Linked DNA regions of Macaca mulatta. The protein of the gene in region 1 interacts with the protein of each later gene in a pairwise test. Links are inferred from orthologs where the notes say so. Each region holds a gene or a part of one and is shown in the gene's direction. Other genes may lie near its edges.

Region 1 (4,249 bases):
TCTCTTGGAAAGCGAACAAGGATGGTGCTCCACGTCTCTGTCTCTACGGGGGTTTAAGCCTTGGCTCTTGGCTCCAAGATACAACTTTCCATTATTTTCCTTTGGATAAAGACAATTAACAGGTATATAATGGATTGTATGTGCCTGACCATATGAAAGGATTAGGTTTCTTTTTTTTTTGGTCTTTGCACCCTCTTCAGCGGATTGCCTGTGATGTGCATCATGGTATGTTTTAGTACGTATCCAATAATAAAACTGTTTCATTCTTTTGTTGTACATTGTGCATTTCGTGGAAAGAATACTTTGGAGTTGGCGGGATATTTTTAATTATTTGCCCACCTGGGTCCCCCAGTTTTGGGCACTTGTATGGCAGGCTGATACTCCCCATTCCCTCTCCGTACTTATTTTAACTAGTAAGGGATGGGGCAAGGGTATGGAGCTTTGGAGTCAGACAACCCTGGCTTTTTTAAACTGTGCCTTTTCTTACCAGCATTTGGAAGTGCTGTATATTGAAGTAACTTCTCTGAACCCCGAATACTTCATCTATACAATTAGGAATAATAAATACGTCATAGATTAGGTATAGACATTATCTGACGCATAGCAGGTACTATTCAAATGAAGGAAACGAAGTTATCCTAGGTCCTTTAATGCACTAAATGTTTGCTCCATTTCCCCCTTTCTTGGTATCTGTGTGAAATCTCAGGATACAGTGTCCACTAAACTTCAGCGCACTGCGTAATGAGACAACGACCTGGATGTGCGGACCTTTTGAGTTTAAACGGGTTTCAGTAGGTAAAAGACGTAAAGTTCACAGTACCCTCGCAATTTAGATAGAAAGAGGAAAAAATCAGCCGGGTGGGGGGGTCCCCGTATGCAAATAGAGGAATTATAGAAGAAGACAGGCTCTGCCGCAGCCGCACTTCCCCCTCCGCGCTGGCGCGGGGGTGGAGATTTGCATGCGCGAAGTCGGGAAGAGGGGGAACCACCTCTCGAAAACCCCGGGCGTCGCCCTCCCCGGCCTGGAGGGTCGGCCCCGCTCGGCCGCCCGGCGCGCCCCTAAAAGCTCCCGGGCGGCCGGCCCTCTCTACGTCATCCGCACCCCCCCGCCCGCTCCTGAACTTTAAACCACACTCGGAAGAACAACCTGGAGGAGGGGGATTTCGCGGGAGCCGGCGGCCTTCTCACGCTGCGACCTCCCGGCTGCCGCCGTTCCCTGTGCTCCCGAAGCCCACCCCAAGCTCCCGCTCCCTCGACCCCCTCCCAAGCCCGCCGCCGCAGCAGCGCCGGGGGCGTACGCGCCGGGGCGGACGGTGAGCGTGAGCGGGGGCGGGCAGGGCGGGGCGCTGGGGGCGGTCGCGCGCGCGACGGCAGCTAGGACGCCCCGCCCCACGCCTCCGGCTTGAAGGCTGCGCCGGGCCTACGTCAGCCGCGGGAAATTCCCCTCCCGCCAGGCTGCCAGCCTCTCGGCCTGGCCGGCACTCGGCTCTCGCCCTGCTGCGCCCCCTGCCCCTGGCTCCCGCACGGTGGACGGGCGACGCTGGTGACCCGGAGCGCAAGAATTCAGGGGGTGGGAAGGTGTGAGCCGCAAACCCAGCGGAGGGCGGGAAGAAGGAGGAGGACCCTGGGGTGGTCGGGGGACTGGGGGCCCCGCCGGCAGAGGTCCCTCGGCCTCCTGACTGACTGACTGACTGACCACGGCCGCCTCTGGCCAGGACGCCGGGAACTGCCTGCGGGAAGGTGCGGGGAACGGAGCCATGGCCTCCGGTGAGTGTTCCGGGTCGGGGACCTGGGCCGGGGGGAAGGAGCTTTTCTTGGGGTCCTGCCGCTGTGAGTTTAGGGAGCTCAGTTTTGGCTGGGGCGCGTTCTGTCTTTAAAATCTCATATGGTAAAATTGTCAGCTTTTAAAAAAGTTACCTGTTTCAGGGCTTGCGTGCAAAATCCAAGCCGCGGTCTGTAATTTGATCCTGTTGTCATAGCAGGAAACTTATAAATTCCTAATGACTTGATTTTAGGATTAGGGAAGTCATAAGCGAACTAAAGGAGGACGAGGAGTTCTCATGTTAAAAATGGATATGTATTGAAGTGGTGGTTTTATGTTTTAGAACAAGAATGAGGAACCTTCAAACCTCGGGCAAGCTCTCTCCCCCTTTTTAATTTCGTCAAATGCAAAGAGGTGATCCCCCTTGTACTGACAGTTGTACAAAATGCTGCACGGCTTTAAAAATCATTCGTGGTATTTTAACACGAATTTAAAAATCCGTGGTATTTTAAGTGTTAATGTTGCATCGACCAGGTGTAGGCCGGGCGCGGTGGCTCACGCCTGTAATCCCAGCACTTTGGGAGGCCGAGGCGGGCGGGTCATCTGAGGTCGGAAGTTCGAGACCAGCCTGGCGAACATTTTGAAACTCCGTTTCTACTGAAAATACAAAAATTAGTCTGGCGTGGTGGCGCACGCCTGTAATCCCAGCTACTCGGAAGGCTGAGGCAGGAGAATCGCTCGAACCTGGGCGAGGTGGAGGTTGCAGTGAGCCAAGATCGCGCCCCTTCTCTCCAGCATGGGCGACAGAGACCCTGTCTCTATTAAAAAAAAAAAAAATAGAGTGTGTAATTTTTACTGTGAGATAAAGCACACAGTTTCTAATCTGACGAATAGAGACGTTGAATCCCCCTTCCTTCCCGCTGGAAATAAGGGGAAAGAGGAGTTTTAGAATATCCGTGCTTTAAAATAATGGGTAGTAGTGAATACAACTTTATCACTTATTTGACTGTATATTTTCCCTTAATAAATGCTCGATCTCTCCCTTTGGGGGGAAATAAATTTATAAGAAACATTGCAGAGCAGGGAAGAGCCTCCTGTATGCACAGACGTGGTTTCGGGGTGCCTGGAGCTCAAGGTTGGGGGGACGGGAGAGCCGGGGTGGTGGGAGAAATTAAGTAGCCTGGGTTCGAGTTGGTCTTTTACCAGGATTTTGCCAAGGTGAGTGGGGGGCGCTTTCCAGACAGAGGAAGCAGCGTGAGCAAAGGCAGGGAGGGCTAAATGCATATGTTAAATGCTGTACCTAAGAGAGTGAAGACGGGGCACCGTTTATGAACTTGACTCGCATCCCAAAACTGCCTGGTCCAGTGACCCTCAGAAGTTGGTTGATGTCTAGTGGAGATGAGGAAGTAGGAAGTTTAAAGAACCTTTCTAAAAGGTTGAGCAGAACAATGCCATAGCTACTGCTGTAGGCAGAAAAGGAAATTGGGGTGTTTCACATGACATTTGATTTCAGTTTGTCTGTGGTTGTGAGAATACTAAGTGAAGTTTAAAATATTTCAGCTTTCCCTTTTCCCACTTAAGTGACACCAGACTTTCAGATAATCCTGTAAATTTGTGAATTCAAAGCATGTGTAGATTAGAAGTGCTAAGATGACTTCAAATGTTTTGTTAATTTATTGGTTATCAGAAAGATTTTGTTTGGAAGTAATGAAGAATGCCTAGCATTGTAAGTTAAGTTCAGCCTCTTGGCGATTTAATCAAACTTTATTGATGTATTGCATAAATGTAATACTTACAATTTTTTCAAATGAGAGAGGAAACAACCATTTCTGTATAGAGTATTGTTAAGACCCACAGGATTTTAAAATGTAATACAATTTAAATTTGTTCATTGACACTGTATTTTGTGCTGTTGTGAGGAGGAAGGATTCCCTAAAAGTAAGGAGGAAATGTTTAAAGAAATAGAAAATTTTAAAGGTTTAGAAGTTGAAGGGTGATTAACTTTTTGTTTTTTTGGTCTTTTCTCAAGAGTTGCATTAAAATGGCACTATTTAAAATGTAGCAAGTTATTTAAATTGTAATTCAGTTGTTAGAAAACTGCCAAGCCTGGAATTAAAAAAAAAAAAAAAAGAAAATGTTTAAAGGAATCTGTGTACTTTTCCTTAATCTGTTATAAAGACCTTAGAGATAGAAAAAGATTCAGTAATGAAATTCTAAATTCCTATTCTGTTTTGAAACAGCAATTTAACCAGAAAAGTGACACACACAAAAAAAAAAGAAAAAGAAATTGCTTAGTTTTTCGTTGTCTAGTTTAGATTCTCTTTGTAGTAAGGTAGTATTAAAACCTCAAAAAGTACTTTTATTCATTACAAAGCATTTAAGAGCATTTCTTCATTTCTCACCAGATGTCATATGTAAATAGGTATAAGTGTTGATTATGTGATAGCCATGATGTAAAAGTAACATAAATCATAATCTTACAAGCAA
Region 2 (4,216 bases), on another chromosome or scaffold:
CGTCTCGGCCTCCCAAAGTGCTGGGATTACAGGCTTGAGCCACCGCACCCGGCCAATTGACTCCTTTTTACTTTTTTTCTTTTTGAGACAGAGCCTCCTTCTGTCACCCAGACTGGAGTGCAACGGCGCGATCTCAGCTCACTGCAACCTTGACCTCCCTAGTTCAAGCGATTCTCCTGCCTTAGCCTCCCGAGTAGCTGGGATTACAGGCCCACGCCATCAGGCCCGGCTAATTTTGACCCCTTTTTAATTATAAAATGCCAATGCTGGAAGCCTCTAGAGATGACCAAATCCAACTGTTTAAAAATTCTTCTGGCCGGGCATGGTGGTTCACGCCTGTAATCCCGGCACTTTGGGAGGCTGAGGAGGGTGGACCACCTGAGGTCAGGAGTTCAAGACCAGCCTGACCAATATGGCAAAACCCCGTCTCTACTAAAAATACAAAAAATTAGCTGGGCATGGTGGCGGGCGCCTGTAATAATCCCAGCTACTTGCGAGGTTGAGGCAGAAGAATTGCTTGAACTTGGGAGGCGGAGGTTGCAGTGAGCCGAGATCGCGCCATTGCACTCCAGCCTGGGCAAGTGAGACTCCATCTCAAAAAAAAAAAAAAAAGAAATTCTTGGCCTCATAATCCTTTGTTTAGATAAACTTGAAAACCCAGTATGTAAACACACAAGCAGAAATGCACTGATTGACACATACTCAATGGATCTAAATGGTACCAAGGATGACAGAAACATCCTCATTTTACAGATGCAGAAACTTGCCGGGTTTGTGCTTTCCTCCCGTCAAACCTTACCACTTTATTGTAATTATTCTCGCACTTGCCTGCCTCAGTAGTACAAGCAGTTTGCCAACTACTACTTGCACGAACAACTAGCAGTTTGCACGCAGTCCTATATTCGGTTTAGGCATTCTCAGGCCTCACAGGGCGCTAAGGCCTTGCTGGCCCCTTGGTGATCAGAAGCTTCGTGCAACCCAAGAGCGTCCCAAGACGCCTGACGGCTGACTTTCCTTCTCAGGACCTTAGTGACAGGGCGGCCAGTCCAGCCTGGGAACCGCAGGGCCCGAGCCCCACTCTCCGGAGACCCGGGATCCGCCGCAGAGCAAAGCGCACGGGAGCGCCGGGGGCGGGAGGAGGGCACGCGGCTCTAGCGTTTGACCTCCTCCGGCTGGCCCTGCTGATCTAAGTCCCGCGCCGGGTCCCCACATCCCCGCAACCCGCGGAGAGGCCGGGGAGCCGCGACCGCTCCCCACGCTCCGGCCCCCAAGCCCCGCCCGCATTCCGCAGCCCCGCCCCTTACCCGCGTCAGAGCGCGCGGCGCCGAGGACCGCGGGGGACCCGCGCGTGAGCCCGGTCGCCGCCCCGAGGAGCAGCCAGGCGACCGCCCGAACCGCCGCCACCCGAACCGCCAGGACGCCGGAGGCCGGACGCCCGAGAGGGGCGCGCGGGGCCAGGTGCGGACGCAGGAAGGGGCCTGGCTGCCCGCAGCTCCTACGGCGCGCTGCCCCAGATTTACCGGCCGGGACAGAGGGCTGGGTGCGCCCCTGGCGCCCGCGGTTCCCCGCGGCCTGTAGCCCCGGCCCCCACAGGTTCCCGCGCGGCGTGAGGCGGCCGTCCCGGCCCCGCCTTTCCCCTCTCCGCCCACCCGGGGGCGGGCGAGGAGCTGCGCACGCGCGGGGACGCGCGCCCGGCCTGTTGCTGTGGAAACGGCTCGGCCAGCGCCCCCCGGAATCCCTGCACGCCGGGGTGGGAACCGGTGGACCGTGCCCCCGGCCGGCCCCACCTCCGCTTCCCGGTGTTTGAGGGTTCGGGCCTCCGGCCGGGGAGTTCACCCCTCGGGCTCGTCAGTAGGGCTGTGGCTGTGGCCTCTTCCTGCAGCGCCAGGCTCCGCCCGGCCTCAAAGTCGGCTTAGGTGCTTTCCGTGCGCTGCGGTTGGGTGGAAAAACCCACTCCTGGGTGTTTAGACGTTGGCCTGCAGAAGATGTCATTTCTGTATTTCTCTAAGGGTAAGAAAGCCAGCCTTGCACTAGTGGAGACGTGAGTAGGGAGAGAATCGTCTACCGTTTGGCGACATCCGTACCCTTAGGTGCTGTGGGGCTTCCTAACAAGATTGTAGGCAGTTCCTGATCTCTGGAGAGAGGAGTATTCGTGTCCAGGAAGAATAATTGTATAAACGTGGCCTCCTTCTTCCTGAACAGAGTGGAATCTGTAAGCAGGCCAAGAGAGCACAGGCGGCTTGGAGTGGAATAGAGGGCTCTAGAGCTGGTGTCTCAAAGGGGAAACAATGTATGTCAAAAGATACTATCCAAAACTGAAAATAGCCGGGCAAGGTGGCTCACGCCTATAGTCCCAGCACTTTGGGCGAATCACCTGAGGTCAGGAGTTCGAGACTAGCCTGGCCAACATGGCGAAACCCCCTCGCTACTGAAAATACAATTAGCTGGGTGTGGTGGTAGGCACCTGTAATTCCAGCTACTTGGGAGGCTGAGGCACGAGAATCGCTTGAACCCGGGAGGTGGAGGTTGCAGTGAGCCGAGATCACACCACTGCACTGCAGCCTGGGCGACAGAGCGAGACTTGTTTCAAAAAAATAAAAACTGAAAATGGTAGTATAAGCATGTTTCTTAAGAAATGGAGAGAGAAATTTTGGAAGGCATGCTTTTTAAAATTCAATCCGGCTCCGTATGAAGAGGAGTAGGGCCAAGGGCTATAGTTTGTTGTTATAAGCCTTATAGAATTATTTTATATTCCAAATACAAACATTACTTCAACAAAAATTAAAGTTAAATTTTAAAAAGAGTCTAGTAAAAAAAACTACATTATTTGAGCACCAACTGCATACATCTTTGAGGAGTACAGCCATTGCGTCAGTGTGTGTAGTTTATATTGTGCCCAGTAGGTTCTAGTTTACTAACATCAAATTTTAGTTAGGTGAATTGGGAGTAGTATTCGTTGAAAAACAAAAAAAAAGCCGGGCGCGGTGGCTCACGCCTGTAATCCCAGCACTTTGGGAGGCCGAGGCGGGCGGATCACAAGGTCAGGAGATCGAGAACACGGTGAAACCCCGTCTCTACTAAAAATACAAAAAATTAGCCGGGCGCGGTTGTGGGCGCCTGTAGTCCCAGCTACTCGGGAGGCTGAGGCAGGAGAATGGCGTGAACCCGGGAGGCGGAGCTTGCAGTGAGCCGAGATCGCGCCACTGCACTCCAGCCTGGGCGACAGAGCCAGACTCCGTCTCAAAAAAAAAAAAAGGAAAAGAGAAGGAAAAGAAGGAGAAAATGGTGTGGGATCATTGCATCAGATTAGAGGTAGAGCACAGTAATTTTTTTAAGTTTTTTTTTTTTTAAAGAATAGGCTTATCACGCTTTGGAGAGGCTGTTGTGCAGTGGCACCATCTCAACTCACTGCAGCCTCAAACTCCTGGGTTCAAGCGATTCTCCCACCTTGGCCTTTGGAGTATCTGGGACTACAGGTGCATGCTGCCATGCCTGGCCAATTTTTAAATTTTTTGTAGAGACATGGTCATGGTCTCACTGTGTTGCCCAGGCTGGTCTCAAACTCCTGGCCTCAAGGGATCTTCCCTCCTTGGCCTCCCAAAGTGTTGGGATTACAGGCCTGAGCCACCATGCCTGCCTCCATCTTTTTGAGATGGAATCTTGCTCTGTCACGCAGGCTGGAATGCAGTGGTACCGTCTCGGCTCACTGTGACCTCCACCTCCCAGGTTCAAGTGAGTCTCCTGCCTCGGCCTCTCAAGTAGCTGGGATTACAGGCACCTGCCACTATGCCCAGCTAATTTTTGGATGTTTAGTAGGGACGTGGTTTCACCATGTTGGCCAGGCTGGTCTTGAACTCCTGACCTCAAGTGATCTGCCCACCTCAGCCTCCCAAAGTGCTGACTGGGGTGAGCCACTGTGCCTGGGCTTATACGTGATTAATTTTCTAAGAGTAAAAATTCTCATGTCCAACAATAAGTGTGAATAATATGATTTTAGTACATCCATAAAATACAATACTTAGCAGTCGTATAAAATGTTACATTGTAGTAAAACATTTAATGACAAAATAATAACATATGTTGTTAAATTTGAACTTCAGGAAATAGCTTGTACGACCATGTGTGAAACATACTTAAACTATATGCCTAGAAAAAAGACTGGACACAATTAAGGGTGATTATTTTCTATATGTTTCCCCTCTCCTTTGCCCCCAAG
Region 3 (3,500 bases), on another chromosome or scaffold:
TCAGGAATTAGTAAACATAAATGCAATAGCCAGATGTGTTTTCTCTCAGGCTGGCTCCATCTGGAGGCATACTGGTAGGGAAAAGAAAGAAATCAGAATTAGGAAAGCTAATCTGCTGTGGAGACGGCCCCTGAAAGCAGTATCTGAAGGTTGTGGTACTCTTGGGTTCTATGTATACTACTAGCTCAGTTGAAGATGTCCAGACAGAAACTGTGGTAAGTGGATCGTATGAGCGGGAGTATCTAGGAGTGATGATATCCATAGTCAGATGAGTGTTCATCTAGTTTACAACAGGACCCACCCAAGCAGTAGCTTGAAGTATGAGAAGCAAGATGCCAGGATACCATGCATACGGACTGATATTTAGGGAAGGTCTTTATTCCAGGCAGGGAAAGTGAGGTATATTCAGGAAAAACAGGTAGTCTGTTAAAATACAATAGGAATTTGAGAAGAAGGCCCAGAGGCTTTATAGCTACCTTCTTATTGCAAAATCCTCAACCCTCAGTGACCTCCCTACTGGCACCCGCAGCCCGGATGCTCTCATTGTGTGTTGTTGGTATAAGTGCAAAGCAAGTTCAGATACCACCACTTTGCAGTTTGTGCCTAGCCTCCAGAGAAAACTCAACTGCTTAGCACGTAGGCCATCAGCTCAGGGTTCCTCTGCCCATAGTAACCTGTAAATTCACTGAGTAGTGGTTTTGCAATTGAAGCAAATTAGGTCATTTTCCATCTGCTAAATCTACTAGTCATATTCTAGCCATGACTACCACATTAACTACAGTCCCAACAAGTGATTTTGGGGTCAGTGTTCCAAGTAGTACGCCGTGGACAAATTTAATAGTCCTTTGTGGTTGAAGAAATACTCTGTTATGGATGGTACTAGGGACTATATGGACTTACTTATTAAAGTGCCTGAAAATAATATATAAAAAGATTTTGTGGAGGTATATACAAGAGAAAATGTGTGCTACAAGCTGAATTTCCTGAGAAAGAATAGCAAAGAGGAGTCAGGAATAAATAACCCTGCTGATGTTTGCCTATCATTAGATGAGGAGGAGGAAGACTTAGTCTTTGACCTAAAGTTCTTAGGGAAATAAATCTTAGCATCCTACAGTGATGCTTCAGGCTCTTCATGGAGCCTAAATGAAACATACAAGCTCAACCTATATCTTCACGCAAACTCATTAAATAACCTTTGTATCTGAAAAATAATTTCCTAAATTGAACTTTTTCATGAAGAAAGGGGGTCCTGTGTGGAAAAGGGATCTGAGTTCTCAGAAAACTATAGCTGTCATCCTGTTCTGTGAGGCAGAAATTAAGAAATAAAAAGATTAGAAATATGGATGTAAGTAGGAGAAAAAGTAGCTTGAATCAAGTTCTTACCACCGTTCCCCTATCACACATACACTCACTCACTCTCTCTCTCTCTCACCCTCTCCCCCTCCCTCCCTCCCTTACTTCCTCCCTTCCCCCCATCCCTCTCTCTCTCTCTTACTTTGGGTGAACTGAGGAAACAGTTTCCAGGTCTGCTAGGGTGAGGTCCACATCCTAGAGCAAAGAAGTCATAGACAGAACCATGCTAGGATGACTACAGGGTCATTTGCATTGGGACTGGGGTGGGACTAGGTCCTGCTTTTGTAGTAAGGGGTCAGTTTACATCAGCAATAGTTTCTCTCTAGCCCTGAGAGTTACTTTAGAGCCTCATCACTTACTTCTGTGATCACTGAACATGATGCAAAATCCACAAAGAGGAAGGGGATAAGTTGTTTTTTCTGACTGTATTTGTTTATATAGAAAATATATTTGAATAAGTATTTTCTAGAGTTTTTTTCATTAAACTTATAGTTACCTTTAATGTAATTTTAACACAAGTAGCATTTGCCTTACGTCTTGCTTCCTATATATCTCCAGGAGTTGCCTCCTTATAATGGTTTTGGGCTAGTGGAAGATTCTGCTCAGAATTGCTTTGCTCTCATTCCAAAAGCTCCAAAAAAAGATGTTATTAAAATGCTGGTGAATGATAACAAGGTGCTTCGTTATTTGGCTGCACTGGTGAGGCTAATTTTTATATACTAAAGATTCTCTTCTATCTCAGTACTGTGTATGATTATTTTGTCTGTAAGCTATAGGTTAACAGCTGTCAGAGTTATGTGTTGACTCAACCAACCATTGTATCTAGTACCCAGCCTTCAGGGAGGTTGGATAGTATTAAGTATGGTGCCCCTGAGCTAAGACCTAGATCAAGTCCTATCTCTCCCAATAATCTTTCTTAGATCATTAATCTCTCACTCTTAACACCTCAAATGTTAACAGACCTTTTGCCTCTTTTATTAAGTAACTATGAAATTGCTTAATATTCAAACCATGTGTGTATCTATGTGGCTTTTTAGTATACTGTGATTTCCTTGAGGTTAGGGACCATGTCTTAGTAAGTTCTGCATTTACCTGTGATATCTTGCCTGATATCTTGAGAGGTTATGTGACTAATAGTTAAGAGCATGCAGTTGGAAATAGACATACACTCAAGTTCTGCATATCTCATTAATTAGCTGAATTGTATGAGATAAATTATTGATAGAAATTCAAAGTATAAAGTCTTTAAAATGGAAAAAAAATGTAGACTAGGAACCTAACCATTTTATTAGAAATATGGACATAAATAGCAGAAGTTGAAATAAGTTATATCTGGGAATAGGAATTAGGAGCTGGGGGTAGGAGGTGTCAGGTGACTTTTCAAACTACATACATGTATTTGAAAAGATACAAACTAAGGTAAAGACAACTGAATAATAGATTTTAGAAAATGATTGTACAAAGCTTTAAATAAAAAGGGAGTCCTGGCTAAAAACAAAAATTTTTAAGAAAACAACAAAACAGCAAAATGTAGGCCAACTAGAGCACTCTCCATAAGAATTCTGACCAACAAAGGTTTTGTAGTACTAGATTCTTTCAGTTACTGTTAAAATTCAAGCGCCTTGTCGAATTATGATATGGTAACTGTAACTCCTTAAGGGCAGGAATCATGTCTTTCTAGACTTTGTAGGTACTCATTAACTGCCCGTTCAGTAGGCAAAACAATTTATTTCTGCACACATTATCCATGAGTAAGGCAATACAATATTTTACCCATTTTATGTTTCAAAACTTAAGAAACAGAAAGGCTAGTTATCTTGTCCCAGATCCGGTGCTGCTTAGACGGGGGTAGGACTAGAACTCAGCCTTCTGGCTTTCAACCCAGTATTCTTTTGATGAAGAACTAGTTTAATACTTAGGATTAGAAAAGGGAAAGGAACTCATATGGGTTTGTAAACTGCAAAATTGTAAGCTTACCTTTGATACATGAAAAACCTGGAAAAATTAATACAAAGTTGATTACAAAAATGGCTCTGAATAGTGTTAGATATTGCTAACTAAGGAGAAAGGATAAATTTCTTTTGATTGCAGCCTTCTGTACTCACAAACAACCTGGTCAAACATGATATATCACAAAAAGTTAAAGT
Region 4 (3,948 bases), on another chromosome or scaffold:
TGCAAAAGTTAAATTGGACATGTTTGAAAGATATGTGAAAACTGTAGAGGCACATAGGAATGTGAGGTATGGGATTATTCATGAGACAGCAATAGGAAATCAAAGTACCACATAAATGCGGGTGTGGAACGGGAAATAATTTCCTAGGTCACCTCCCCAAGAGGATACTGTGGTGAGTTGTGAAATGAAACTGTGAAGGGGGAGTACATCTCTTTTAAGAACCTTTCTATTGCAGTCTACAAGCTCTAGATCAATTTTGAAGACCATCTAAGCGTTCTAATGTGGCACAGTTAAACCCCAAACTCTAAGGAATGCCAATGCCAGGAGGAAAGAAGGCATGAGGTGGCAGAACACCTCTCTGGACCCACAATGCCGTAGAAGTCAGACACCCTTCGCCTCCACAACTTCACAACAGCCTTTGCTGTGAGAAGTGGATTAATTCATTTCACTGCTGGCTTGTTAGCTGGCGGATGCTTCAGGAGTTCCTACCCGGGGGAGCAGCGCTGACTCTACAGGGGCACCCCGCGCCAGTCGCTGCCAAAATTCTCACCAAGGGGTGAATGGGGTCCTCAGGACCCGCGGTGCCGAGCTAGGTATTAAAATACCGCACCTGAGTTCTTCTTCAAGGACCAGGAGGCGGTTCGAACCCCAAGAAAGGCTGCAAGCTGAACCAGAAGCTCAAACCTAAAGTTCGCTTCACAGCCAGCCACACTGGCACTCGCTGAATCGGCGCGCCTCGCGAGTTCTGACAATTGTCATGTGATAACTGCCACGCACCTGATGGCAGAGGCCACTGGATGCCTTGCTTGGTTCCCATTAAAGTCGACTGCGACCCCAACGCAACAAACCTAAGAGTTGGAAGGCGCAAGTTCCTCCGCCAGCGAGCTCACCCTCGGCAATCAGACTGCTGAAAGTGCGCTCCACGCCGGAAGTGCACTAATCCGCAGCACGTGGGGTTGCCAGGGCGCTCTTCACGTGACTGGGCGGAGCCTCAGGAATCTGGTAGCCAATGGTAGCCCGAGAGGGCGGTGCCTGTGACGCTCCGGGGCCTATCCCGGAAATGGGGCTGAGGTGGGGGCGGGTAAGGGCGGGGAGGCTGGGGTGTGGAAAGTGTGGCGGCCCCGCCCCGTCTCTTGGAACTGCCGCGGCCGCCACCGCCGCCGCCGGCGCCGCAGCTGTAGGGGACCAGCGCGGGTACGCAGACGAAAGGCACTCTTTGCCAGCTGAAAGGTGAGGACCTGGGGAAAAGCTGGTGGGGATGGGGCCAGAGCGAGGCAGGGCCGGGGAAGGCGTCCAGAGCCAAGCGCTGACCGAGGGAAGGAAGGAGAATGGATGGGGGAACAGAGGCGAGCGCGGGACCGCCGGGGCTCAGGCCCTGGTGGGGCCGGGCCGAGCTGAGCCGAGGATGCCGGCAGAACAGGGGGCGCCTATGCGGCCGCGGCGGCGGCGTTGAAGGGTGGACGGGGGGGTGCGCGCCAGCTAGCAGAGGGCCGGGTGCCGCCGGCCAGGTTCTGTTACCCCGCATCCTTCGCGGGGACGTGCGGCCTGGGCTGGATACCCCGCAGCAGGGTTCGGGGCGGCGGCCGAGTGCTGGGCGGCGCGGGAAGGTCGCCGGCTTCTGCGGTGGGGCGATGGGGGCCGCAACCTGCTGTTTCCAGCGCGGAGGAGCGCCCAGGGCGGGTGTCCCCACCCTCAGCGAGCTCTTCTGCGACTTCTCATCCCACCTCCCCAAGCAATAGCTGGAAAAGTTTGTAGAGGCCAGAGTTAGAAAGTGTCCACTAGTCTAGGGTGGGTGTTCCTTACATGCAGAAATAACAGGCCCGTGATGCTTGGCACATAACTTGTCCGAAATGAGACGTTTCCGTGCCTACATACCCGTTGTTGAAAAGCAAACACAAACTTTTTGTGTGTAGTTCCCACGGAAAAACTACCATCTCCCCAGCCCACCATGGCGGACGAAATTGATTTCACTACTGGAGATGCCGGGGCTTCCAGCACTTACCCTATGCAGTGTTCGGCCTTGCGCAAAAACGGCTTCGTGGTGCTCAAAGGACGACCATGCAAAATAGTGGAAATGTCAACTTCCAAAACTGGAAAGCATGGGCATGCCAAGGTAAGTGCCCTTGCAGATCAGGCTTTGGCTTTGGCGTTGGAACTTTGATCATTTGTGTTCCGTTACAGATCATGAGATTTCTATACTTAAAATTTTGTAATAAGCACTGTTTTTTCCTTCCCACAATTACTGGGTGATCAGTTATTACGTTGAATACTGAAAGGTAGCAGTCCCTTCTTGGGCCCTTAACAATGTTCATTAACTGGGAACTGAAACTTTCCTGAATCCTAGTGACTTAGAAGATCTATTCAGTTTACAGATAAGAAAACCTGTTCCAGCAATTCTAAGAAACCTACACTTTATTTTTCTTGTGTAATCTCATAATTGAATCACTGGACTATATTGGGTCTTGACATGTGATACTGTTTAGTTGTTTACTGCCTCCTAATTGTAAGACCACTACTTTTTTTTAAGTAAAATCAGATGACCTTGGAAGGCGGAGAAAAGGAATCTGTCGTAATCAGCGTTGGTATTGTGCTCTTGTGTGTGTAATGAGTGATATACTTGGCAGAGATTAAACAGGTTTCCTGTTCTCCTCTGTTAGGTTCACCTTGTTGGAATTGATATTTTCACGGGCAAAAAATATGAAGATATTTGTCCTTCTACTCACAACATGGATGTTCCAAATATTAAGAGAAATGATTATCAAGTAAGCACTGATTTTCTTTAGAATGTTGCTTGTTACTTCAAGGTGCAAATACTTTGTACTATCAGTAATAATTTGACAAAACCCAAGAGTAGTTTTGTAGGTTTTTCTAACCAATTATTAGGCACCACCTATCTTAGAAACTGGAGAAATAGTGATGTTTAACACTTGTACCTTTTCTAGGATTATTGCTAGTTTGCTATTTTTTTTCACATTCTTGCATTTTTTAAAAAGTCAAATACTTATTAGTGCTCCTCAGGCCAAGTGACTGCATATTGCAATTAAGTCCAATGTTTAGTAAAAGTACTATTCTCTCTGTTATTATATATTTCTTATTCTAATTTAAAACATCCCTCCTGGATGTTTTGTTTCTTTTCACTGATCAGACCTAAGACATTCAAGAAACTACTGAAATTCATGTTCCTACCAAGTTTTTGTATTAATGAATGTTAGTCAGAACCTGACATTCTTAAGTAGGGAAATAAGTTGAAAGCCATAAATATAAAGTACATGGTCACTGAGTATGGTGAAGAAAACACGAAAACTATGTAATTGGTTAAATTACGTTCAGTGACCATGTTGTGACCTTTTGCTAAATTATATATGTAAATTTCAAGTTTTAGTTCCAGCTATACATTTGGGTAGGTCATATTTAATGATAGCATTTTGTTGTTTGGAGTACTGATGATAACCAAATAATTGACCTTATAGGATGTGGAAGCTCAGATTACTCATAACTAAAGCTTTTCTTGAAAGTCTTCAGTTTCTACATCAAGCATATCATATATCAAACTCATTTCTGCTCATTTTACGTAGTAAAAACTACATAGTTGACACTGGTATTTGTTTTATCCAACTTAAACTGATTTTTTTCTGTACCCTTTATTGTATAAATTTTTTTAATGTTGCTATCAACTGCACTTATGCAATGATTTCCTTTTGCTGTTTGTCCACATGCAAACATACTTTTTTGTAGTTTTAATCTAGTAAACACTTCTATGTTTTCATTTTCCGACTTGTCATAAATGTTTTCTAGGTTGCTTTGAAGTCTTTGTAGAAATTTGAATTGTCTTGCAAGTGGGTTTTTTTAACCAGGTAGATCTGAGTTTGGATCTAGTTCTGTCACTTTCTAGTTGGATGATTTTGGACAAGTAATACAACCTTTCTGAGCCTGTCTTCTCATCTACAA
Region 5 (4,156 bases), on another chromosome or scaffold:
CCTTTAGAAAGAAGAGCATTGGGGCCGGGCGCGGTGGCTCACGCCTGTAATCCCAGCACTTTGGGAGGCCGAGGCGGGCGGATCACAAGGTCAGGAGATCGAGACCACGGTGAAACCCCGTCTCTACTAAAAATACAAAAAATTAGCCGGGCGCGGTTGTGGGCGCCTGTAGTCCCAGCTACTCGGGAGGCTGAGGCAGGAGAATGGCGTGAACCCGGGAGGCGGAGCTTACAGTGAGCCGAGATCGCGCCACTGCACTCCAGCCTGGGCTGGGCGACAGAGGGAGACTCCGTCTCAAAAAAAAAAAAAAAAAAAGAAAGAAGAGCATTGGGGTGACAGCAATAAATCTAAAGGGAACAATTATACTGATACTGGTTAAGAAGATCTTGTATCTTTACCTACTTATTCCTGAATCTAAGAAAAAAAAAGGAATTTGGGACTAAGGAGAATTCATTCTTCCTACAGTGTCATATTACATTTGTTCTGTGTCTAAAACATGCAATATTCAAAATTGACTTTTATTATTAACTGTTGAGTAACTTACAAATGTTGTTAGAGCAGAGCAGGGCAGAACAGTGTCATGGATAATCTTCCAAAGGAGATAATACAAAAGTCATTTCCATTTAGCTGTGTAAAAACAGTTTATTTCTCTCCTTCAGTTTTCCATTGGCTAACATAGTTAGTTTGTTTCTGCTAAGCTGATTTCACTACTGCAAGGAAATACATACCAAGGACATATTATTTGGCATGGTGAAACCACCTTGGGGTCAGAAAACTGAATACTACACAAGTCAAGGTTTAATGTATCACACCTTGAAGGGCCTTGCTTCAGTGTCCTATGGTAAGGAATTGAGGGGTGGAGGGAGAAAGGTAGGGATAACCAAAAAGAATGTACTCAGACAGTAAAGATTTCAGAGGGGTGAGCAAGAAGTTGCAGTAAAATCGTACCTTTTTTTTTTCCTTCCTGTAAACTGTCTTCGGTTTATGAGCCAAAGAATGAGTTTATAAGGGGCAGAGCAAAGAATGGGGGAGTAGTGAATTTGTTGTACTTAAGTGGGCTGTCAACTTCATAATATAAAAATGAACTTTTCAACAAATAGAGCTGCTCACTCAGAAAGGGTGGCCTATGTAACTTGGGGTTCTCCATCATTGGCCGTGTTTAAGCCTAAGTGGCATATCTTGATAGAAATGGATTACAGTAAACAGTATTCCTGTATCCTTCATTCCGCAAATACAAAAGCCTGCTCTGTACAAGGTACATGCAGAATATGAAAAGGTATCAAATCTGGATCTGCTCTCTGCCAGCTGTCAAAGCATTGCTTCTCACACACGTTAATGTGATCTTGTTAAAATGCAGATTCTGAACCCTGGGGATGGGGCCTGATTCTACATTTCTAACAGGCTCCCAGGTGATGCCAACGCTGCTGGTCTGTGTAACACAGATAAACGTTTCTAGTAGAGAAGGCGACATGCAAATACTTCTAATACAAAGGTAAGTACCTTAGGGATTCCACTAATTTTCATAAAAAACCTGGATCCCTCCCAACCCTACGACTGTCTTTGCCTTTTTTATACCTTTAGGGTTCCTTCTGATGTTTTCGTTGTCGCCATCTTCCTTGAATTTTATTTCTTCTGAGGTTTCTCACTGCATATGCTGTTTCTTAGACTAGGAAAGCCTTTTCGTTATTCTCCTAAGACTAACATTTTACTAATTTGTCAAGGTCTAGCTCCTAAATACGCCATCTTGAATTTTCCCTGCGACCCCAGTCGGGCTGACAGCTCCTTCCTTGTCGCTCCCTATTGAGCAGGTTTTTCTTGTGGGGGGGGGGCGGGGAGGCGGAGGGACGGAGTGTCGCTCGGTCGCCAGGCTGGAGTGCAGTGGCGCGATCTCGGCTCACTGCAACCTCCACCTCCCGGGTTCAAGCTATTCTCCTGCCTCATCCTCCCCAGTAGCTGAGACTTCCGGCGCGCGCCACCACGCCCAGCTAATTTTTGTACTTTTAGTAGAGACCAGGTTTCAACTTGTTGGCCAGGATGGTCTTGATCTCCTGATCTCGTGATCCGCTCGCCTAGGCCTCCCAAAGTGCCGGGATTACAGGCGTGAGCCACCGCGCCCGGCCAGAACAGTTTTAACCTCCAGCAATGGCCATTGCTTCCTTCTGCCTGCAGTTGGAAGTCAGTTTCAGTTTTCTTATTCCCTGTAAGGAACCCCCCTCTCCCGTCGCCTAACACACAGATGCTGCCCAGAAAACGTGCTGGCGCACCTGAGGCGGGGTAGAAAGCCGCGTCGCTTCTCCCGGCACCGAGCGCCGGAGCCCAGGGAGGCGGCCTCCGAGTGTCCTGTGGGAACGTCCCTTCCGCCGGGTAGTCTCAGAGGCCCAGCGCTCCAATTATCCCGGGTGCAGTCTCCCCAGGCGGCACAAGCCCTGCCTGGCGCCCCCTCCTGGCGCTGGAGGCTGCGTGCGACTGCCCACCATCGAGGCGGCGGCGGCTAGAGAGGCCGGCGGGCCCGGGACGCCGAGGCTGCAGGCCGCAGGGAACGCGCACGGGGCCGACTCCGCGCCGCCGGCCTTGTAGCCATTTTAGGAGGAATCGCTGATCGCCAGCGAGGGGTGCGGCTTCAATTTCAATAACTTTATTGGTGGCCTGATCTGCAGAACAGTCATCACTTCAGTGGTCCCTGGAGGAGGGAGCGCATCGCCCGAGGTGACTGGCGTGGGGGCGCCCCTGGCAGTGAGCGCGGGGACGCGGGGGAGTCCCGATAGCGGGTTTCCTGACTAGGGGCAGCGAGGGCACCGGGGTATTTGCAGGCATTCCCGCAGGCCAGGAGGGAGAAGGCTCCGGGGCTTGGCCTCCCTGGGGCGGGGAAATCCCTTGCCCCGTCCCAAGGCGTATGGGCGGGGCCGGGGGGCGCCCCTGACGCGGCTACTGAGGTGTTCCCAGCCCGGTGTGGTTCTCCGCGGTAGGTGGTCCCCGACGAGCTGCAGCCATGGGAAACACCACCAGCGACCGGGTGTCCGGGGAGCGCCACGGTGCCAAGGCTGCACGCTCCGAGGGCGCAGGCGGTCATGCCCCGGGGAAGGAGCACAAGATCATGGTGGGCAGTACGGACGACCCCAGCGTGTTCAGCCTCCCCGACTCCAAGGTAAGCGTCCCACGCCCGCAGTTGGTGGCAGTACTGCAGCGGGTTGATTTCCGGGCTCCTCTTCCCTTTCTTGGTTCTTTTCTGCCGCGCCGAACCGGGCTATGGTTTTTTGAATTAAAAGGATTTTTCGGGGACAGAGGTGTTGGATGGTAATCCCTCTTGCAGTGCCGCCTCAAAATAGGATAAAGAGGCGGAGTTCTTGTTTTCCTGGTGTTCTGACTAATCTGTTGGCCACATTTTTAGGATGGGGACAATAGACATCCCCGATCCTTGGTTCTTCCTAACATGCACGAGTGGCTCTCCTCTATAGCGTTGCTGAATTTGTAGTTTGTTAGCCCTGGTGGACAACTTCAGAGGGTAGGTTGCACGAGTTGCTGACCATAGGTGGTAGTTTCTCACCTTTGCCCTGAGGTGGCTACATGAAATTCTTTTTCTGAAAATTTCTATGTATCAGTATCATTTTTGCCCTTCTAGCAGCTCTGCACTTGTGATCTTCTTCCCTTTTGGCACGGCTGTAAGCAGCAACTACTTGCTTATTGAATACTTTCCCCTAGTCTTGGGGATCAATTAAGGACATCATTTGGTTGACTGCTTAATTTTTGTCCCATACTTTATAGTTGTGGTGGCTGAGGCTGTGCCTCTTTCACGCCCCGCTGCTGCTCCGCAGGTGGAAGAGCCAATGATTCCACGACTTGTTTACTCTCCAGTAGTACTTCAAAATGTTGCGTGGCTAAAAAGCGACAATCCATAGCTGCCTTGAAGACCTTGCTCTCAATTCCAAGGACTTTCAGGAAGAGCCAACTTGTTTTTTCACTCTGTAAGAAAGGACAGATGGAGCTGATAGCAGCGATTACCATTCTAATGTTTCTAATCGCTTTTAGAGCTGTCAGCATGAAATACATGTAGTTTCTCCAGGTAGACTGACTGGATGAGATAGAAAAATGGAGGGCTTGAGGAGATTGGGGTGTGTTTGATGTTTCCTATCATTTCGTCACTTCCCAGGGAACTGGG
Region 6 (4,271 bases), on another chromosome or scaffold:
CGGGCCTCCACGGCGAATTTCTTTTTCCCCTTGGTTCTTCTCCTGGGTCTGGCCATCTCCAGCGTTCCCCTGCTTTACAGCATCTTCCTGTAAGTGCGAGAGGTTCCCGCCTCTCTCCCTCCCTCTCCCCCCATTCAGTGTTCAGACTCCTGGCTCTACTTGAACCCAGCCTGTCTTGACTTCAGGATCCCGCCTTCTAAGCCGTGTGGTCCATTCCGGGGGCAGTCGTCCATCTGGGCCCAGATCCCTGAGTCTATTTCCAGCCTCCCTGAGACCACCCAGAACTTCCTCTTCTTCCTGGGGACCCAGGCTTTTGCTGCGCCCCTTCTGCTGATCTCCAGGTGAGGTGGACCAGACTTCTGGGTCTGGGTTTGAATGCGTGTGATCTGGGGGCCACCACCTGCGTCCAAGAGAGGAAAGGCTTGGGGGTGGGAGCAGGCAATGTACTGAGTCTGAGGGAGGAGGCCTAGGCTCCTGGACTGCTGGGTCCGAAGGAGGAGGTGGGCGGGACTTAGGACTCCTGGATCTGAACGCGGAGGTGCTGGGAGACTGAACTCCTTGAGCCTGGACGAGGAGGGACTTAGGGGTCCACATCCCTGACTTCGAAGAGCGTGTCAGGAGTGGCTTCCGTTCCTGTCTCCTCCAGCATCCTGATGGCGTACACTGTGGCTCGGGCTAACTCCTACGGACGCCTCATCTCTGAGCTCAAACGTCAGAGGGAGACGGTGAGCCAGGCGGGTCCCTGAGAGGGCCCCCGGGGAACACGGAGAGGGGCTGGGGAAGAGGGCTGTCACACCTCCACCTCTCTTTGCCGCAGGAGGCGCAGAATAAAGTCTTCCTGGCACGGCGCGCTGTGGCGCTGACCTCCACCGAACCGGCTCTTTGACCCCCGCAGCTCACGCCCCACTTTCAGACCCCAGGCCCATTGTAAGCCTAGGTCACAACATCTGTAAACTAGGAGAACTGGAGAAGACTCCACGCCCTTCCAGCTTTGATATCTGGAGATTTCCAGGGCCCCTCGCCGCCACGTCCCTGACTCTCGGGTGATCTTTCTTGTATCAATAAATACAGCCGAGGTTGCTGAGCGCGCTTTGAAATCTGCGTCCTGAAGGTGGGGGCAGGGCTACCGCAGGGCAGGAGCCAATCAAATGTATGGGCATGTTTGTCGGTGCGGAGCGCACTTCCGCAAGGAGACTTGACGGTCATGTCGACCAATCGACGGCCGCATGTGGTAGCATCGGGGCGGGCCAACTTATGATTGGTTCAGATCTGTGATAAGAGGCGGTTGCTAGGGGATACCACGAGCCGAACGCCTAACATTCGCTGTGAAAAGGACGTCTCAGCCAATCACCTGTCGTTACAGGCCAGGGGGCCGTACCAACTAATTCGGAACCAATCTGCGGTCGAAGTAGGGACAAGAGGAAGGGGGGCATCCTCTCGCCAATCGGAAGTGCAAAGAGGCGGGCGTGCCAGTCCCTGGACAGCTACGACGCCATGAATATCTTGCCCAAGAAGAGCTGGCACGTCCGGAATAAGGACAATGTCGCCCGCGTGCGGCGTGACGAGGCCCAGGCCCGGGAGGAGGAGAAGGAGCGTGAGCGGAGGGCGCTGCTGGCTCAGCAAGAGGTAAGCTCGGAGGCCGGCCGGGCTGACCGCCGGAGCCCAGCGCGCACGCGCCGCGGTTGGGGGCCGGAAGCGGAGGCGTTGCGCAGGCTCAGTGTGCCCCGTGTGAAATTCGGGACCAGGCGCCGATCCCGTTTTCGAGGACGTTGCTCTGCAAACCTTGTGGCCACTTCCACGAAACCTCCCTTGATCTCGCCTTCGTCTTAGTTTCCCCCCACTGATGTATTTCACATGGCTGGAACAGTGTCTAGCACAAAAGAGCAGCTTAAAAACATTTAATGAATACATGAGCGCTTGGACAGTTCAAGGAAATTCGGATCACGTTTTAGTTTGCCTGCGCAGTTTATTTATTGAGCACCTATTGTATGCTAACTACATGCAGAGCGCCTGACTTGCGGAATCCCCAGGAGGCACTGTTCGTTCTTAGAGGGGCACTGTCATCTCCGTTGCACGGAGTGAGATGGCTTCAGTGAGGGGAAGGCACATTTAAGGAGAGGGGGACAGCCAGGCTCCACGCCATCGGGCGAGCCCTTTCCTGCACCGCCCCCTAGACACATACACACAAACACGGGCTTTCTGTATGGCTCCTTAAATCTGTTTGGTGTACACCCAACTTTCAGTTCCTTAGCTAGTCTGATCCTCCACAGTGGGTGGGAGGTAGTCTGGGTTTTTAGAATCTCAGTAGGCTGCTGAGCGCTGTTTGAAATCTGCGTCCCGAAGGCGGGGGACAGGGCTTCAGCAGTCGACTTGGGGTAGTGACTTGGAGCCATGGCTAGAATTCAGATCGTCTGGCCTAATGCAGTTTGGTCTACCTTTATGGCTGTTTTAATTGTCTCACTTGAGGTTAGGAACCCCTTTGGTTTAGGCCAGGGACCTCCTTCCAGCCATCCTTGATGACCCGTGGTTTACGATTTGAAAGGCAGTTTACAAAACCCAGGCGTTGCCTCATCTGCCTACCCTCACCCGCAGCTAGGACAGGTGCCTCTTTTAGGCGTCTAGTGCTCCCTTTCTTATAACCCCAGCACCCTGGACTGCCATTTTCTGTGGTGGGCACCAGACTCACAGTTCTTGAATCACCTCTAGGTTCTGAATGCCCTGCCTATAACTTTCTCCCCAGGCCCGTACAGAATTCCTACGAAAGAAAGCCAGACATCAGAACTCACTGCCTGAGCTTGAAGCAGCAGAGGCGGGAGCCCCAAGTTCTGGCCCTGTGGACCTGTTTCGGGAGCTGCTGGAGGAAGGGAAAGGAGTGATCAGAGGCAATAAAGAGTACGAGGAAGAAAAGCGACAGGAGAAAGTAAGCTGGCCTCACCCACTTCATTAGAGGAGCCATGAATCGAGTTGGGGGGAGAGGGCACTTTAGCCACTGCTTGTGATCAAGGTCAAACGAGAACGAACACACAGAATTTAGAACCATACCAAAGCATGACACTTAAGAAGTGTTGCCATCTGGGCACCCACAGGGCTTGGAGGTAGATGCTAGAGGTCCCCAGCTGCTAGGCAAACTGCTCAGTTCTCAAAACTGGAGGGGTCTGAAACCTTGATAGGCTTTTAAAAATGTAAATCAGCCAGCTGTGGCTCATGCCTGTAATCCCAGCACTTTGGGAGGCTGAGGCGGGTGGATCACCTGAGGTCAGGAGTTCAAGACCAGCCTGGTCAACATGGTATCTCTAAAAATACAAAAAAATAAGCCAAGTGTGGTGGTGCACGCCTGTAATCCAGCTACTTGGAGGCTGAAGCAGGAGAATCGCTTGACCTGGGAGGTGGAAGTTGCAGTGAGCTGAGATTGCGCCACTGCACTCCAGCCCAGGTGACAGAGCGAGACCCCATCTCAAAAAAAAAAAGAGAAAAAAAAAAAAAGGCGAATCATTCGCCTCTTGCCTTTTGGCTAAGATCAAGTGTAAAAAGTATGTCTGGTCGTGCATGGTGGCTCACACCTGTAATCCCAGCACATTGGGAGGCCAAGGTGGATGGATCACCTGAGGTCAGGAGTTCAAGACCAGCCTGGCCAAACATGGCAAAACCCCGTCTGTACTAAAAATACAAAAATTAGCCGGGCATGGTGGTGCGTGCCTGTAATCCCAGCTACTAGGGGGGCTGAGGCAGGAGGATTGCTTGAACCTGGGAGGCAGAGGTTGCAGTGAGCCGAGATGGTGCCACTACACTCGAGCCTGGGCAACAGAGCGAGACTGCATCTCAAAAAAAAACAGGTACATGAGCTCTTGTCACTCACCTGCTGTCTCTGGACTTGCTGACCCCACCCATGGCTCCTCTGCTTTGCTTGATCCCTTCAGGCTTCTCTTCAAGTCTCTCTGCAAAGATGCCTGCCTCTGAACACTCAAGTGGCTCCACTTGTCCCCTCCTTCCCCTGCTGTTACCTGCCACTGTCCCCCCACGGGGAACTTGGCCTCTGTTGGTGTCTTCCATCCCCAGCACCTGGTACAACTGGTTCATGACAAGCCTTAGGTACCTGTTTGCTTAGATTCCTATGTCAGGGAGACACACCTGACACCTTGAAAGATTATATCCCATCTCTTGTATTTCCTGGCCCCCTCAGGAGAGGCAAGAGAAAGCTCTGGGCATCCTGACGTACCTGGGCCAGAGTGCAGCGGAGGCACAGACTCAACCCCCTTGGTACCAGCTACCCC
Region 7 (3,500 bases), on another chromosome or scaffold:
GGCTGAGAAAGACCTAGATCTTGTCCTCAGGAAGCTCTCTGGCAGGGGTGTGGGGTGGGTACCCAGGACTGTAAGATGAGGGGGCTGTCCAGAAGATGGGTGCAGATATAGCCCCATAGGAGATTAGGGAGCAGGAAGGCCTGCACTGCTGTGGGGAACCAGGAAAGGCTCTTGGAGGAGAGAGTATTTGAATTTAGCCTTGAAGGACATGTAGAATGAAGAGTTTGTGGGGTGGGGGCTTTTGAGGAGACAGGATTAGCATGATGAAAGGCATGGAAGCAGGAGAGTGGGGCCGCCCAGTTTGGCCAGAGTGGAGGGTTCATGTAGCAGAGTGAGAGATGAGGCCTGGAAATCCCTCTTAAAAGTTTGGACCTTATTTCCTGGCAATAGGGAGCCATGGGAGATCTTGGAGCAGGGCAGTAGGGCAGTGGTGTAGTTAGAGCAGAGCCTTGGGCACAACAGTTGGGAGCTGGTACAGGCTGGAGAAAAGAGGAAATGGGAAGCAGGGAGACCAGACAGGTAGCCTGGTCGCCCTGGAGGAGACCAGGAGGAGCCCAGTGGGATGGTGACAGTTGGTTCAGAGGATGCCCTGCCTCTGAGCTGGGTTCTCTGGGGTTCTATGCCCTGGGAGACCTCATCTGAGCCTGGAACCAGGGCTTCATGCAGAGAGAGCTTTGTTGGGATCCTACTTCGGAGGCCACTTCTGAGAAACTGCCCCTGCTGTCGGCCACTGTCATTCCGCTCCCTTCCCACTCCTAGCTTGAGAGTCCAACTTGGCAGGGACACATCTCCATGTGGCCCAGCGGCTTTTGGCGGGGGCTCCCTGGGCTTCGGGAAGGCCAGCAGCATTTCTGTGGGCCAGAAGCCCCCTTCTCTCCCGACAGACAACCGGACGTACCACTTCCAGGCAGAGGACGAGCACGAGTGTGAGGCGTGAGTGCCCGGCCAGCCTTGTGGGTTGGGGCGGTAGCCCTATCTCTTCCCGCCTGACATCCCCGTCCCACCCCGCTCAATCTCCGCAGGTGGGTGTCAGTGCTGCAGAACAGCAAGGACGAAGCCCTGAGCAGCGCCTTCCTTGGGGAGCCCAGCGGTGGCCTGGGGTCCTGGGGGGCCGCCGGGCATGACGGGGAGCCCCATGACCTCACAAAGCTGCTCATCGCGGAGGTGAAGAGCAGGCCTGGGAATAGCCAGTGCTGCGACTGCGGGGCTGCAGGTCAAGCCTCGGGGCCTGGGCTGGAGGGAGGGGGAAGTAGAGGGGAGGGGCTGCACCTCCAGGCTCCAGCTGCTTTCCTCTGCAGACCCCACGTGGCTCAGCACCAACCTGGGCGTGCTCACCTGCATCCAGTGCTCGGGCGTCCACCGCGAACTGGGCGTGCGCTTCTCGCGCATGCAGTCACTCACCTTGGACCTGCTGGGCCCCTCGGAGTTGTTGGTGAGGGCGGGGCGGGGCCCGGAAGGGGCCAGACACGGAGATAGGGGTGTAGTTTCATCCGGCAGCGAGACTTGCAGGTTGTGGGTGGGACCTGGCCAAGGTGGGCGGGGACAAGCCAGGTAGCTGGTGGTCAGGGGCGGGGCCTGAACCGGGAGGGCGCCCGAGGGGCGGGACTCTGGGGACTCGGAGCTCCACCCCGTGCAGGCCTAACCACCCGGTCTTACTCTGCCCCACCCCTATTTTCCCACGACTCCAGCTGGCCTTGAACATGGGAAACATGAGCTTCAATGAGGTCATGGAGGCCCAGCTACCCTCACATGGCGGCCCTAAACCCTCACCTGAAAGTGACATGTAAGGGGATTCTCAGAGAGAGGGGCGTCCTGCCTACGGGATTCTGCCTCCGCAGCTCCCAGGGTCGCAGAAAGGTCTTAGATCAGAAGTCTGGGGAGGCTGGGCGCAGTGACTCACGCCTGTAATCCTAACACTTTGGGAGGCCAAGGCGGGCGGATCACTTGAGGTCAGGCGTTCAAGACCAGCCCGGCTAACATGGCAAAACCCCGCCAGTACTCAAAATACAAAAATTAGCTGGGCGTGGTGGCACATGCCTGTAGTTCCACCTAGTCAGGAGGCTGAGGCACGAGAATTGCTTGAACCCTGGAGGCAGAGGTTGCAGTGAGCTGAGATTGCGCCACTGCACTCCAGCCTGGGTGATAGAGTGAGACTCTGTCTCAAAAAAAAAAAAAAAAAAAAAAAGCCTGAGGAGCTGGGGAAGGGGAGCCTCAGATCTGGACATCTTCAGGACATGGTTCTGGAAAAAAGGAGAGCTGTATCTCCTGTGGGAGGGCCCCAGGGATCAGCTGGACAGACACGGTCCGTGCTCTGAGATCCTGTGGTTGTCTTTGGTAGGGGCACCCGCAGGGACTACATCGTGGCCAAGTATGTGGAGCACAGGTTTGCACGCCGGTGCACACCTGAGCCTCGGAGACTCTGGACAGCCATTTGCAACAGGGACCTCCTGTCGGTACTGGAGGCCTTTGCCAATGGGCAAGACTTTGGACAGCCGCTGCCAGGGCCTGATGCACAGGTGAGAACCCCCTCCAAGGGCCACTTATAACCCACCTGCCTCACACTCTGACATCTGCTCAAATCTCACCCATCAGAGTGGTAAGTGGGAAGGAGCACAGCTTCAGTTAAGCAGACCTGGGTGGGAATCCTTGCTGTTTTTTCCCAGCTGTGTGATCTAGTGCAGGTTACTTCTCTGAGTCTCATTTCCTCATCTATAAAAGGGGTTAATAATAGCACCCATGGTGATGAAGTGAGAATTAAGTCATGTATATAAAGGGCTTAGTGTACAATGGGTATGCAATAAATGTTCATATCTTTTTCTTTCACCTAAGTAGCCCTGAAATGTAAGGGCAGGTCAGTTTAGAGCCAGGAAGACCACATTGCTTTGGCTATTCCAAGAACAAACACATGAGCATGGGGAAAGGATATCAGAGACATTTGAAAAAGTAAATCAACAGGAGTTGCTGACTGATTGGACATCAAAAATTGGATGTTGGCTGGGTGCAATGGCTCACGCACTGTAATCCCAACACTTTGGGAAGCCGAAGTGAAAGGATCACTTGAGCCCAGGAGTTCAGAATCAGCTTGGGCAAAATAAGGAAACCCCCATCTCTACAACAACAACAACTAACATTAGCTGGGTATGGTGGCACACATCTGTGGTCCCAGCTACTCAGAAGGCTGAGGTGGGAGGGTGACTTGAGCCCAGGAGGTTGAGGCTACAGAGAGCTGTGACTGCGCCACTGCCCTCCAGCTTGGGTGACAAAGCGAGACCCTATCTCAGAAAAACTAAAAACGGGTATCTTTGAACTGTCTGTCTGATATCTTGGTGGGCTATCCAATGAGCAGTGCAGCATTTAGGTGAGGTAAGAATTTGGAACAGCCTATACGTGTGTGATAATTGAAAACGTGAGGTTGCTGAGGTCTTGGTGGGGAAGTACAATCAGGGAGAGGAGCCCAGAGTCGAGAAAGAAGTTTGGGTAACACCTGTTGGGGGCAGAGG

The links.
Region 2: the proteins of REL (region 1) and CEP19 interact in binary tests that used the Homo sapiens proteins (3 or more experiments, as listed by UniProt). The two-hybrid records come from large-scale screens. The link is inferred for Macaca mulatta from reciprocal best matches to the Homo sapiens genes REL and CEP19.
Region 3: the proteins of REL (region 1) and EFHC1 interact in binary tests that used the Homo sapiens proteins (3 or more experiments, as listed by UniProt). The two-hybrid records come from large-scale screens. The link is inferred for Macaca mulatta from reciprocal best matches to the Homo sapiens genes REL and EFHC1.
Region 4: the proteins of REL (region 1) and EIF5A2 interact in binary tests that used the Homo sapiens proteins (3 or more experiments, as listed by UniProt). The two-hybrid records come from large-scale screens. The link is inferred for Macaca mulatta from reciprocal best matches to the Homo sapiens genes REL and EIF5A2.
Region 5: the proteins of REL (region 1) and PRKAB2 interact in binary tests that used the Homo sapiens proteins (3 or more experiments, as listed by UniProt). The link is inferred for Macaca mulatta from reciprocal best matches to the Homo sapiens genes REL and PRKAB2.
Region 6: the proteins of REL (region 1) and LENG1 interact in binary tests that used the Homo sapiens proteins (3 or more experiments, as listed by UniProt). The link is inferred for Macaca mulatta from reciprocal best matches to the Homo sapiens genes REL and LENG1.
Region 7: the proteins of REL (region 1) and ASAP3 interact in binary tests that used the Homo sapiens proteins (3 or more experiments, as listed by UniProt). The two-hybrid records come from large-scale screens. The link is inferred for Macaca mulatta from reciprocal best matches to the Homo sapiens genes REL and ASAP3.

What each region holds. Positions count from the first base shown.
Region 1 is NC_133418.1:63,901,032-63,905,280, reverse strand, and holds the start of REL (proto-oncogene c-Rel), read left to right. Parts: upstream 1-1,449; 5' UTR 1,450-1,757; coding exon 1,758-1,767; intron 1,768-1,917; exon of another isoform or gene 1,918-4,249. UniProt on the Homo sapiens protein: Proto-oncogene that may play a role in differentiation and lymphopoiesis.
Region 2 is NC_133407.1:2,250,604-2,254,819, reverse strand, and holds the start of CEP19 (centrosomal protein of 19 kDa), read left to right. Parts: upstream 1-1,416; 5' UTR 1,417-1,458; exon of another isoform or gene 1,459-1,578; intron 1,579-1,696; exon of another isoform or gene 1,697-1,985; coding exon of another isoform or gene 1,986-2,010; intron 2,011-4,216. Other genes in the region: PIGX (GPI alpha-1,4-mannosyltransferase I, stabilizing subunit precursor), read right to left, coding at 1,305-1,416. UniProt on the Homo sapiens protein: Required for ciliation. Recruits the RABL2B GTPase to the ciliary base to initiate ciliation.
Region 3 is NC_133409.1:129,832,990-129,836,489, reverse strand, and holds part of EFHC1 (EF-hand domain-containing protein 1), read left to right. Parts: intron 1-1,911; coding exon 1,912-2,052; intron 2,053-3,500. UniProt on the Homo sapiens protein: Microtubule inner protein (MIP) part of the dynein-decorated doublet microtubules (DMTs) in cilia axoneme, which is required for motile cilia beating.
Region 4 is NC_133407.1:82,589,699-82,593,646, reverse strand, and holds the start of EIF5A2 (eukaryotic translation initiation factor 5A-2), read left to right. Parts: upstream 1-1,148; 5' UTR 1,149-1,230; intron 1,231-1,913; 5' UTR 1,914-1,948; coding exon 1,949-2,113; intron 2,114-2,657; coding exon 2,658-2,762; intron 2,763-3,948. UniProt on the Homo sapiens protein: Translation factor that promotes translation elongation and termination, particularly upon ribosome stalling at specific amino acid sequence contexts.
Region 5 is NC_133406.1:118,946,444-118,950,599, forward strand, and holds the start of PRKAB2 (5'-AMP-activated protein kinase subunit beta-2), read left to right. Parts: upstream 1-1,356; 5' UTR 1,357-1,492; intron 1,493-2,660; exon of another isoform or gene 2,661-2,706; intron 2,707-2,966; 5' UTR 2,967-2,989; coding exon 2,990-3,145; intron 3,146-4,156. UniProt on the Homo sapiens protein: Non-catalytic subunit of AMP-activated protein kinase (AMPK), an energy sensor protein kinase that plays a key role in regulating cellular energy metabolism.
Region 6 is NC_133424.1:66,391,288-66,395,558, reverse strand, and holds the start of LENG1 (leukocyte receptor cluster member 1), read left to right. Parts: upstream 1-1,471; 5' UTR 1,472-1,494; coding exon 1,495-1,626; intron 1,627-2,740; coding exon 2,741-2,920; intron 2,921-4,180; coding exon 4,181-4,271. Other genes in the region: voltage-gated chloride channel TMC4, read left to right, coding at 1-89, 186-341, 647-725, 818-886.
Region 7 is NC_133406.1:217,566,509-217,570,008, forward strand, and holds part of ASAP3 (arf-GAP with SH3 domain, ANK repeat and PH domain-containing protein 3), read left to right. Parts: intron 1-884; coding exon 885-933; intron 934-1,022; coding exon 1,023-1,213; intron 1,214-1,298; coding exon 1,299-1,432; intron 1,433-1,688; coding exon 1,689-1,783; intron 1,784-2,338; coding exon 2,339-2,516; intron 2,517-3,500. UniProt on the Homo sapiens protein: Promotes cell proliferation.